2 linked regions of the Arabidopsis thaliana genome follow. The protein of the gene in region 2 interacts with the protein of the main gene of each other region in a pairwise test. Each region holds a gene or a part of one and is shown on either strand. Other genes may lie near its edges.

Region 1 (6,470 bases), on a different chromosome or scaffold from region 2:
TTTTTTATTCAATAGTTGAATAAGTATAATGAAGTTGTTAAATTTTGGTGTTGTGAAGTTTTTGTGTCTTTTTCTGATTTGCTATTTTCATTATTATTTTCAGATTTTTATCTAATCCTATATCCTTGAGATCAATTAGTTTATAGAAAATGTTTTAAAAACAGTTATATCAAAACTCATCATTTTTTAACTATATAAATAGAGATTTGGTTCCTTTAATTTGGACACATAGAAAATCGTATTAGATTGCATATTATCTCAAATAAAATAAACAAAAAGTATTTGATTTTTATCTATTTCTGTTTAATTTAATTTGCTAATAAACTATTTAATTCTTAATCATTTAATTTAATAAAAATCAGGATAGACTGTTGAATTTTATTAAATAAAATAATTGTAGAATAGAAAAAAATAGTATATATATATATATGTTTAATTATTAGATGGAAAAGATAACAAAAATAATGTGAAAAAGAAGGAAAAAAAATGTTGAATTATATTATACCATTATAAATGGTCTTACGGGCCAAAGCCCAATAATATTTTTTCCAAATAGCTTTTAAGGTCTTTGCGTTAAGTCATTTAGCATATATTTTTTTCCCAGTGTACAGCCCAATAAGTCTTTCAAAACGTTTTGGTATCAAAACATGTAATAGCGTTTTTATATATCAAGAATTGTTTAAGAAATGTACTGAACCGTCCAACCAACCATATAAGTGATAATGGATAGCAATATTATTATAACCTTATCAGGTCAGGCCATATGTCACAATCAACCTAATTGTGATCTATAAAAGTTCACCTGGTCACGTATCTAGGTTTGACTGGATAAAAATTGTCGGTTTCAAACAATTAATACAACAATATTACTAGTAGATAATTTGTTTCTGTCTCAGCTAAATGTTTGGTGGAAGGAGCTTTGTAGAGAAATTCATTTGAAGTAAAAAAATCTAACACAAATTCAACATGTTCAGAATAATAATTCACAGCTGGGTAAATTTTAATTTACAATTATTGAGTTTTTTTTTTTTTTTGTTTATGTCAAACTCAAAACTAGTGCCACGTGGAGGAAGCTAAGCCTATAAACGATTATGACCGACAGTTGTCACTCTAGAAGTAGCGGTCCTTGTGACGGCATAAGCTGGTCATAACCGCTTAGTGGTGATGATTTGACGAAATTGCCCATTAAGCGACTGTGAGATGTCGGTAGACTACGATGGCCACGTTCCACAGAGAGTGACACTAACAACCAAAACCTATTTTATTACTATTTTTTCTTTTGTCATTAGTATTTTATTACTAATTGTTTGAATATTTCCTCGTGGTCTATTATTATTAAACACTCTAGTCCTCTTATTGTTCATTAAAATTGTCTGACGCTTGTCTCTTCCTTTCGTTTTCTACTAGAAAATTCAGCTATTTTCTTAATGTTTTATATCTCGTAAACTCTTAAGTTGTAACAGTGTTTCAATATAATTTGAACACATATTGAAGTTTAGTCCAAAATTCTTCTTCTCCAGAATATATCCAAATCGAGTCACAATGGAAAACAAATTCTCCTTTGTAGGTAAATAGAAACAAACAATAATTGTGGCATTAAAGTGTTTTAAAACGAGATCCCAATAATTTACATCAGTAAGATTTCAAAAGTGTGTAATTAGAATAAACAATAAACCTCCACAATTTGGAAGATATTTTGTTTCCATATTTGTCGCGTATAATTTATTATATTGTCAATTCTCGAGAATTTTTAACGTTTTGTTTTGACCAGGTAACGACTGTTCCGGTAAATATGTAGGTCCAAAAACTTCCCGCGGACTTAACTCGTTTTGAAATCCGCTGTTTGGTTTTCTTTTTTTATTACCGGCTCTAACCGGTCCTACCCAAAACCTTGTCATGTCCTCTCATTCCTCCACCGTTTATAAGTAGGCCCTTAACTCCAATTCCCACCGTTTCTTCGCTAACCACACAAAGCTTGTTCTTCTCCTTCCTTCTCCAATTTCGTAAGCTCAAAGATTTCGATTTCGATTTTGATTATTGCCAAAGGTACAAACTTTTGAACACAGGTTTGTTTATTTTGTTTCACTCTGTTCGATTTTATGGGGTTTTATTTATATTTTGTTCTTGATCGATTTTACCAGGTTTAAAGATGGATATTTTCGACAACTCTGATCTTGAATACCTTGTTGATGAATTTCACGCTGATTTCGATGATGATGAGCCCTTTGGAGAGGTTGATGTCACCAGTGAGTCTGATTCCGATTTCATGGACTCCGATTTTGATTTCGAGCTGGTATGATACTTTACTCTGCTTCAAGTTTAGGAAAGGCTTGAAATTTAATGGATGTGATGAAATTAATAGCAAACTTGTTATGTTGTTGTTTTAGAGTGAGAGTAAGACGAACAATGAAACATCAGCGTTAGAAGCTAGGAATGGAAAAGATATTCAAGGGATTCCATGGGAGAGCTTGAATTACACGAGGGATAGATACCGTGAGAATAGATTGCTGCACTATAAAAACTTTGAGAGTCTGTTTCGATCCAGAGAAGAGCTTGATAAGGTTCGTCTTAGCCAATCAAAGTTTTTATAGCTTATGATGATGGATGATTTGAAATCTTGAGTTTTGGTGTGCATCTTTCTTATGATTTCTTGTATTTTTTGTTGTCAGGAATGCTTGCAAGTAGAGAAAGGAAAGAACTTTTATGACTTTCAGTTCAATACAAGGCTTGTCAAGTCCACAATAGCGCATTTTCAGGTAGAGAACTTGACCAACTATGTTTGCTATGTTTGGAATACTCTGTTTACTGATGCTTGGAGTCATCTAGGTTTTCACTCTTTATCATATATAAATCCTCTGTGTTGCTCAGCTCTTGTCTTTAGCAGTCGTGTCTGCAACTGCAAACAGTAGTTCCACAGTGGCTTCTTATCACGCATGAGTTCTCTAGTTACATGGAAATATTTTATGAGCTTAGAGATTGTAGTTCCATGCTGATTTCAGTGTCACAATTCTTTCACACCGAGTCTGAAAACCCCAACTTTTAAGTGAGATCTGCCAAACTTATTTTGAAGATGAAAAATGTATCTGTTGTCAGTGTTTATTCTTTTTGTTAATTATGTTTGATCTTAGAATTTGCGATAACTCTTCCTGTTTTCTTATGTTGATCATTGTTCCCACCTTCAGCGCTGTAGCTGGGGGTGTTGATTCACACAAAGTCCTTTTCTTTTGCAGATAGTCTTCAAGGGTGCTTAATTTAACCTGCTCGTTTCTAACTTCTCGAAATATAATAACTTAGGTTCGTTTTTTACTCAGGGACAATATTAAGGTTCTAACTGATTCAAAAAGAGTGTCATGATATGTTTCTAGGATGATCGAGGCAGAGTTGATATATCTAACTGGTACAGGCAACTTTTTAACATCTTCATATACTTTCATCACCTCAAAAATTAGAGTCAGAGAGTGTATTAAGATTCCCTTGCACATTAGACGTCGCTCAATGTCCATTATTAGACCACGGGAACTGTATTGAAGATTTAACACTACCTCTGCTGCATTTTGAGAAACAGTTACTGTATGACTTAACCTTTCTTAAACAGGTTGGAAGAGCAGCTGGCGCCTTAAGGAAACCTTTGTTAATATGGTATGATAGGAAATGTTTGCTAATCTGCAAGGACTCTCTAACTTTGTCATCCTTATTTCTTACAGGAAATCTTTTTGTTCAAGCTTATATGAGTGCTTCAATATCATCTGCATTTTTTCGTGATACTATGCTCTTGTGCTTCTTATTATTTCTTTTGGTTTTGGTCTTCTCTTCTTTCTTTTTTTTCTGGCACAGTTGCTTCATAAACGATTAATGCTGAAGTTTTTAAAGTCAACATTTGATTACTGAAACGGTTGCTTTGTTTCCTTCTTGGCTTGTGTTTTGTGTGAGAACTTGCATGTTCTCTGCTTTTTTGTGTAAGATGACCAGTTGTATCCTATGCAACAATCCTAATCATTATTGTCTCATTTTACAGCTGAGGAACTTGGTATGGGCAACATCAAAGCACGATGTGTATTTCATGAACAACTACTCTCTCATGCACTGGTCATCTTTGTTGCAAAGGGGCAAAGAAGTACTTAATGTGGCAAAGCCCATTGTTCCTTCAATGGTAAGCAACCTAACTCGTTCCATCACTTGTTCTTGAAACCTCGGAATTCAACTATATATTAACTTTGGTAATTTAATCTTCAGAAGCAGCATGGATCGTTGTCACAGTCTGTATCAAGAGTCCAGATAAGCACCATGGCAGTTAAAGACGATTTGATAGTTGCGGGAGGGTTCCAAGGAGAGCTTATCTGTAAGGTATATTAATATATTCTCTGTTCTGCAGTGATCTTATTGTTAATTTGTTTGCTCATTTTGCGTGGTCACTCTGATTCCAGAAAATCAACGAACCTGAGGTTGCTTTCTGCACTAAACTAACATCAGCTGATAACGACATCACCAATTCGGTTGACATCTACAACGCACCTAGGTGATTACTAAACAGAACATACATTGGTTTTCAAAAAACCAAAAAAAACAACTCTTCTAATTCTTGCTTCCTTAATCCATGTAGTGGCTCGTTAAGGGTTATGACCGCGAACAATGACTGTACTGTCCGGCTATTTGATGCCACAAACTTTGCCTTGCTCAACAGATTTGCCTTTCACTGGTCTGTAAATGTAAGTGCATCTCTTTCTCATAAGACTCAACTGTTTTCATCTGCTATTGATTCAAAGTGTTCATAACTAATGTTTTTGGTGTGTCTTTGTAGAACATCTCCACCAGTCCAGATGGTAAGCTAGTGGCTGTTCTAGGAGACAGTCCTGAGTGCTTACTAGCAGATACCGGATCTGGAAAAGTGATCCACGGACTCGAAGGCCATCTCGACTACTCGTTTTCATCAGCATGGCACCCAAACGGTCAAATCTTAGCCACGGGTAACCAAGACACAACCTGTAGACTATGGGACGTAAGGAACCTGTCTCAATCACTCAAAGTCTTGAAAGGAAACATGGGAGCTATCAGAGCCTTGAGGTTCACGTCTGATGGACGGTTCTTAGCCATGGCTGAGCCAGCGGACTTTGTACACTTGTTTGACACGGAAGCTGGTTACAGTCAGTGTCAAGAGATTGATCTGTTTGGAGAAATAGCGGGAATCTCGTTTAGCCCCGACACGGAGGCACTGTTCGTGGGAGTAGCTGATCGTACGTACGGCAGCTTGTTGGAGTTTAACAGGAAGCGAAACCACTCGTATGTTGATTCCATATTCTGATCTGACTCCAATCGTTAGAAGCAAATTAAGGAGCTATATGTATGTGTGAGATTATGGTTGTAGTGGCTGTTGGAGGGATTAAAAGTCGTTGTTTTTGTGACTTTCCCTTTGTCATGTTTATGTGGTTTTAGGAATTCCATGTTTGGTCAACTGTAGAACATACGTACTTATATGAGTGCTGTTAAACTTTGAAGACACAACTTGTAGGCTATGGGGACGTGAGGAACCTGTTAAAATTTGAAGCCCAACTCGATGTTCAGAAGCAGCACCAGGCCTTTATTTATAATAAAAATTTGTGGCTTGAAGAATGTGATTGGGGTCGATGTGGGACAAAAACAACAACTAGTTTCACGGGCTTTAAATAGTTGAAGCCCAATTAGGTGATTAAATGTGCTGTGAAACAGTACTGATGGTTGGGAGAAGTTGAGATTGAAAGGATTTTAGAGCAGCATCTAATACTAAAAGTAGTAGACATAAAGATGGTTAAGGAGATTTTGATAGTCGAGATTTCTATCTTTTTCTCAAGACGAATAAAGCAATTAAGGAAGTGTCATGTACTCATGTGTGAGTGAGCCACTTAATGTAATGTTAAAGCTTTACGAAACATTCCTCAATTACACCTAACCTTCTTCTTATAACAGAAAATAAAGAGTCCTTTGATTCTATTTCTTCAATAACCTTTTCTTTTTTCTTTAAAACGTGTCACATATTATAATTGCATTCTAATTTCTAAGAGAACAACAACTCTTTGATATCTTTCATCGAGATTCAACAATAATGGTATTACAATTCAAATTGGGAACTATGTGCAACTGAAAAGGCAAATGTAATAGCGTCCAAAATTCTGTACTTATTTTTTGATCTCCTCCATTGATGAAAAAAGAAACTTGTACTTAATAGCTTAGTATATAAAAATGGAGAAATGGACCATATGTCACGTTAATCACGATATCACGCGAAAACGATAAAACCAAAGAAGAAGAAGAAAAAGGTATTATGAACAAAATGTGACGGTGACAATTCACCTAAACTTCACATGCCATTCATCTTCCTCACAAAACGCCATCCAACTGCTCTGAAAACGACACCACCCTCAGTTTTTTGTTTTCGCAAAACTCTCTAATTCAGTCCAAATAGTTTCTATTTTGTATATTAACAATTTCTTATATCC
Region 2 (4,866 bases):
AAAATGGTTAAGGAAATAAAACCAAAAATGATCTTAATTTCCTGCCACTGCATATTTCACTATAAATAAATGGGATCAGAAAGTTTACAGTTTTCTTCTCTACTATACTACAAAATTAGTTTAGCTTTCTAAAATAAAATAAGGAAGAAAACCTTAAGTAAAACCAATTACATGTCTAAAATATACTTACAAAAGATCCTCAATTATAAATTTTAAAAAGGTTGTTGTAATATCTCATATCCATTTAGATGACGTCACATACAATTTGCTACCTCTTGTCACTCATTTAAACATACAATACGTTGTACTACGTTGCGACACTTTCACTAGACTGGTGAGATATTTAGAACAAATACGTCAGCCCGATAAGAAATATGTTTTATATTCTTTTACACAAATCTAAGAATGGATTTGTTAACTTGAGATATCTTATGGTTTTTGTTTATGATTTATATCATAAACACGCTTAAGTTACATCTTCACGAAGATACAAATCTGAACAATGTAGATGATGATATGATGCCTCTTTTCTCACGTCATGGATTGATTCTGCGATTAAACGTAAGGTACAACATCTTCATGTTTGTTGTCCTTCAGATGGTATTTGTAATATCCCCATGTTTTTCTAGCTGCAAGACTCGGGTATCCTTAAATCTCGTTGATGTGACCATGGATGATGCCGAGTTCGTTTCTTTACCTTATGCTGTTATGCATTTGTAACGTATTTGGTCTCCCAGTGAGGCCACCTTTGCAAGACTTGTCTCTTGCTATCCTGTATTGGAAGAGTTAAATATTGTTGAATGTTGGAATCTTCCGGAAGTCATTCCGGCTGAATTTTTTTGTCACTGATCAAGAGACTCAAAATAAAGCTATGCGATTCTACGGTTGTACAAGTACATATAAAGATAAATATGGAGTTGTGACTGATGCTCCTCTTTTACGCGATTTGTTTATTGATGATGACCAAGCTGGAAGTTATTTAATAAACAATTTGAGTTCCACTGCCAAGTTAAATGTTTATCTCGCCTTTGGTTTGGACAGTTTTGATGAAGCAACAAGGGTTTCATCGAGGAGAAGTAGCATCCACAATTTTCTGCTCGGGATTTCAAATGTCGGGGAAATGATCATATATCTAAACACTTTAAAGCTATATATGTCATGTCAATTCCAGTATAAGACATGTACGTTCTCTATCATGATTCATGAAAGTTTATGACCTACATTACTTTTCTTTTTGGTTCGAGATCATCTATCAATACTCAAAATTAGAACCGCTTCCTCGGTTTGGTTACATGTCCCACATGTATGCTGATATTTATGTACCTAATTGGAAATGGTTAAAAACATTTCTTGGGAGTTGCCCAAACTTGAAAATCCCTCATCTTGGTAATGATCTGCTAAACTCTAGCTAGTGTGAATCAACTAGTGTTCATGTGTTGTTGTAGCAAAGCTTCTCTGATGATGAAATGCAAAGAAGAAGCTACAGAACTAAAGAAGAACAATGGAAGCATTATAGGTGTGTATAGTACTAATGAATCTCTTTGCTTTTGACCACAAAGCAACCTACTTGGTTCATGTTACACAATCAAATTTGGTTCCAAATGTCACATATAAATAATAATTAAGCATAAAAATTCCCTATTTATAGCCAATATTTGCTTCTGAATATTACTCAAATTAAACCTAAAACTCAGAAGAATGTTTTGAGAAACAAAAGCAAGAAATTTTGAACCATGTGATATGTTTCACCAATCAATCATATAAACTTCTTCTGGTTTATCTTTTTATTATCCTATCATTACCACTCCATACTCATAACTCTCTCTGTCTCTCTATCTCCCTCTCCACATCAAGAAGAAGTCTCTGCTAGTTCCAAAACAGAACAAGTGAATCCCTCAAGTTTCTTATTACAAAACCCAAAAACCAAAGTGAACCAGTGTTGTTGTTTGTACTCACAGATCCATTCTCCACTGATTCATTTCTTGCTCTGCTTCTTCTCTCTTAGTTTTGTTAAGAATCTTCTCTTATCCATTGTGTTTTTTCTATTTTATAAATACATATATAATTTTAGTTGGGGGAGAGCTTGCCTGGTGTCGCCTTCTTCTCTCTCTAAGACTTGTGCTTAATTTACGGACATGTGAAGATACTTCGCTTTTGCCTCATCGAAGGGCATGTTAGCTATTTACTTATCTCTTCTCTTCTCTTCTTTGTCTTGTGAGCTCTCAAATCTTCATAGATACAAATCAAGAAAGTGATCAAACAAAAAAAGGACAAGTCTTTTTGGTATTTCAGATCGAGAAAAAATGTGGTTGCAAGGTTTGAAGTAATCTTGCAATGGATTCTTTGACTGGATTTAGAATGGAACCCAAATGGCAAATTGATCCTCAGCTTCTCTTTGTTGGTCCAAAGATTGGTGAAGGAGCTCATGCTAAAGTCTATGAGGGAAAGTAAGCTCCTTTCTTCTTCTTTGTTAACTTTCTGGATTTGATTTGCTTATGAGATTATTGGGAAAGTTTGGATTTTGATTTGTGGGTAAGTGAAGTCTAGTATTTGTTCTATAAGGGTATGAATAAAATGCTTGTTTGGTACACTCATCTATCTTGATTTGTCTAGTTGAATTATTGAAATTGTAAAGTTGGAGTTTTTAATGGATCTCTACTGTGTTTGGTCGTTATGATCTGAGACAGATACAAGAATCAGACAGTTGCTATAAAGATAGTTCACAGAGGAGAAACACCAGAAGAGATTGCTAAAAGAGATTCAAGATTCCTTAGAGAAGTAGAAATGCTCTCACGTGTTCAACACAAGAATTTGGTCAAGGTTCTTGTTTCTTGAGATCTATGGCTGTTTTTGTTGTTACTAGCTTAAAGGGTTTCATGAGTTCATGATTGTGTTTTGTCTCTGGATCAGTTCATTGGTGCTTGCAAGGAGCCTGTAATGGTGATAGTTACAGAACTTCTTCAAGGCGGTACATTGCGTAAATATCTATTAAACTTGAGACCCGCATGTTTGGAGACTCGTGTGGCTATCGGTTTTGCGCTTGATATTGCTCGTGGTATGGAATGCTTGCATTCCCATGGGATCATTCACCGTGATCTCAAACCCGGTAAAACTACCTCTTTAAACCTGATATGTATCATTTAATGATCTGCTTAAAGTATTTGCAAAACACCTTGCTTCATGGAAACCACATGCTCAGATCTCAATCACAAAGAATCTTTTCTTTCTTTTTTATTGTCTGACACCACACACGCTTCAAGTTCTTTTAATATTCTGGTTATGATTAAGATTTAATCTTAAGTGTTGAAGATGGTGTTAAAGGATCTATTGTTCTGTTTTGCAGAGAACTTGCTTTTAACTGCAGACCATAAAACAGTAAAACTAGCAGATTTTGGATTAGCAAGAGAAGAGTCACTGACTGAGATGATGACGGCTGAGACAGGAACATACCGATGGATGGCACCTGAGGTTCTTCTTTACTTATAGACATATTTGTTCATTTCTTGTGCTTCTCTTTGCTACTTAAAGACAATCTTGGTGGAATATTACAGTTGTACAGCACGGTAACTCTTCGATTGGGAGAGAAGAAGCACTACAATCATAAAGTCGACGCCTATAGCTTTGCAATAGTTCTTTGGGAGCTTTTACACAATAAATTGCCTTTTGAGGGAATGTCAAATCTCCAAGCAGCATATGCAGCAGCCTTCAAAGTGTGTAACACTGTCTTGTTTTGCTTTTGATTTTCGCTGAACTTTATTCTCTTTGTTTTGACATGTTTCTTATACAGAATGTGAGACCAAGCGCGGAGAGCTTACCGGAGGAGTTGGGCGACATTGTAACATCATGTTGGAATGAGGATCCGAATGCTCGGCCCAACTTCACGCATATCATTGAGTTACTTCTTAACTATCTCTCTAAAGTTGGATCTCCGATATCCGCTATTCCACAACGGATTCTTGCTTCGAAGAACACGCTATTGCCACCGGATTCTCCTGGAACTAGCTCTTTGATGGCTAAGCTTGATGAATGTGGGGAAACTCCAAAGGCCAAAAGTGAAGACAAACGAAAAGGTTTGTTTTTCTGCTTCAATCAATGTTATTAACCTTGAAATCACAGAGTGGTTTTAGGACCAGAGATTTGGTAGACATCACTCAAATTATTCATGTAATAATATCCTCCCTACCATATGAATTTAGCAAGAAGTTCATTTATATAAATAAATAGTTATGTAATTGTAATGAATTTAAAAGTAGACGTAAAGAAAAAGTTTCCTAAAGAGGCTCATGTTCCCTAAATGAGAAAGTTTTAGTTTTGTTAAATTTATCGTTTTCTATTTTTCTATCTCTTCTATTATCAAGACTCGAGGATTAAAGAAGTCAACTCTTCATTTTCAACTTTTTTTTTTAATCGTTTTGGTTGTGATTTTTTTTCGACCAATTAGTATCACAAGATGTCGAACTTTTGAAAACCAAAGTTTGATATCTCAAATGCTACCAAGTGTAGGTTATGTGGCTTAGCCAAAGCATGTGTCGCGTGCTTCACGAAATAAGGGACAATTGGTGCATTTAGCGTAGGGATGAAATTAGAAAACTAGAAATGAGAAGTTATCTCAGAGGTCAAATTCATATTTGGTTATTGATTCACGGATCAAATATCCAAATGACTTCTAGCCAAACCGTTAGGAGAAAATCCGTCGGTTGAGAATCATATATGGCGCTGGTGAGTGAGACCACCGAAAACAAACTTTATATTTATGAATATAGTACGATTCAAACGAATCAACATGACACTGGATGAAGACATCGGTGGTATGAATCTTCTGATTTTGAATCTGGTAACACCATCACCATCCAAAATAAGAAAAAA

Evidence for each region. The genes of interacting proteins can lie anywhere in the genome.
Region 1: the proteins of AT5G50180 (region 2) and AT1G78070 interact in a two-hybrid assay, tested with the Arabidopsis thaliana proteins (one large-scale study listed by BioGRID).

Annotation. Positions count from the first base shown.
Region 1 is NC_003070.9:29,353,070-29,359,539, forward strand, and holds AT1G78070 (Transducin/WD40 repeat-like superfamily protein), read left to right. Parts: upstream 1-1,874; 5' UTR 1,875-2,046; intron 2,047-2,141; 5' UTR 2,142-2,149; coding exon 2,150-2,293; intron 2,294-2,387; coding exon 2,388-2,561; intron 2,562-2,669; coding exon 2,670-2,756; intron 2,757-3,276; exon of another isoform or gene 3,277-3,366; coding exon of another isoform or gene 3,367-3,397; exon of another isoform or gene 3,398-3,595; coding exon of another isoform or gene 3,596-3,639; exon of another isoform or gene 3,640-3,937; coding exon of another isoform or gene 3,938-4,015; coding exon 4,016-4,150; intron 4,151-4,233; coding exon 4,234-4,344; intron 4,345-4,424; coding exon 4,425-4,516; intron 4,517-4,600; coding exon 4,601-4,706; intron 4,707-4,798; coding exon 4,799-5,299; 3' UTR 5,300-5,941; downstream 5,942-6,470.
Region 2 is NC_003076.8:20,428,782-20,433,647, forward strand, and holds AT5G50180 (Protein kinase superfamily protein), read left to right. Parts: upstream 1-1,671; 5' UTR 1,672-2,334; coding exon 2,335-2,447; intron 2,448-2,687; coding exon 2,688-2,820; intron 2,821-2,910; coding exon 2,911-3,106; intron 3,107-3,343; coding exon 3,344-3,468; intron 3,469-3,551; coding exon 3,552-3,710; intron 3,711-3,787; coding exon 3,788-4,102; 3' UTR 4,103-4,365; downstream 4,366-4,866.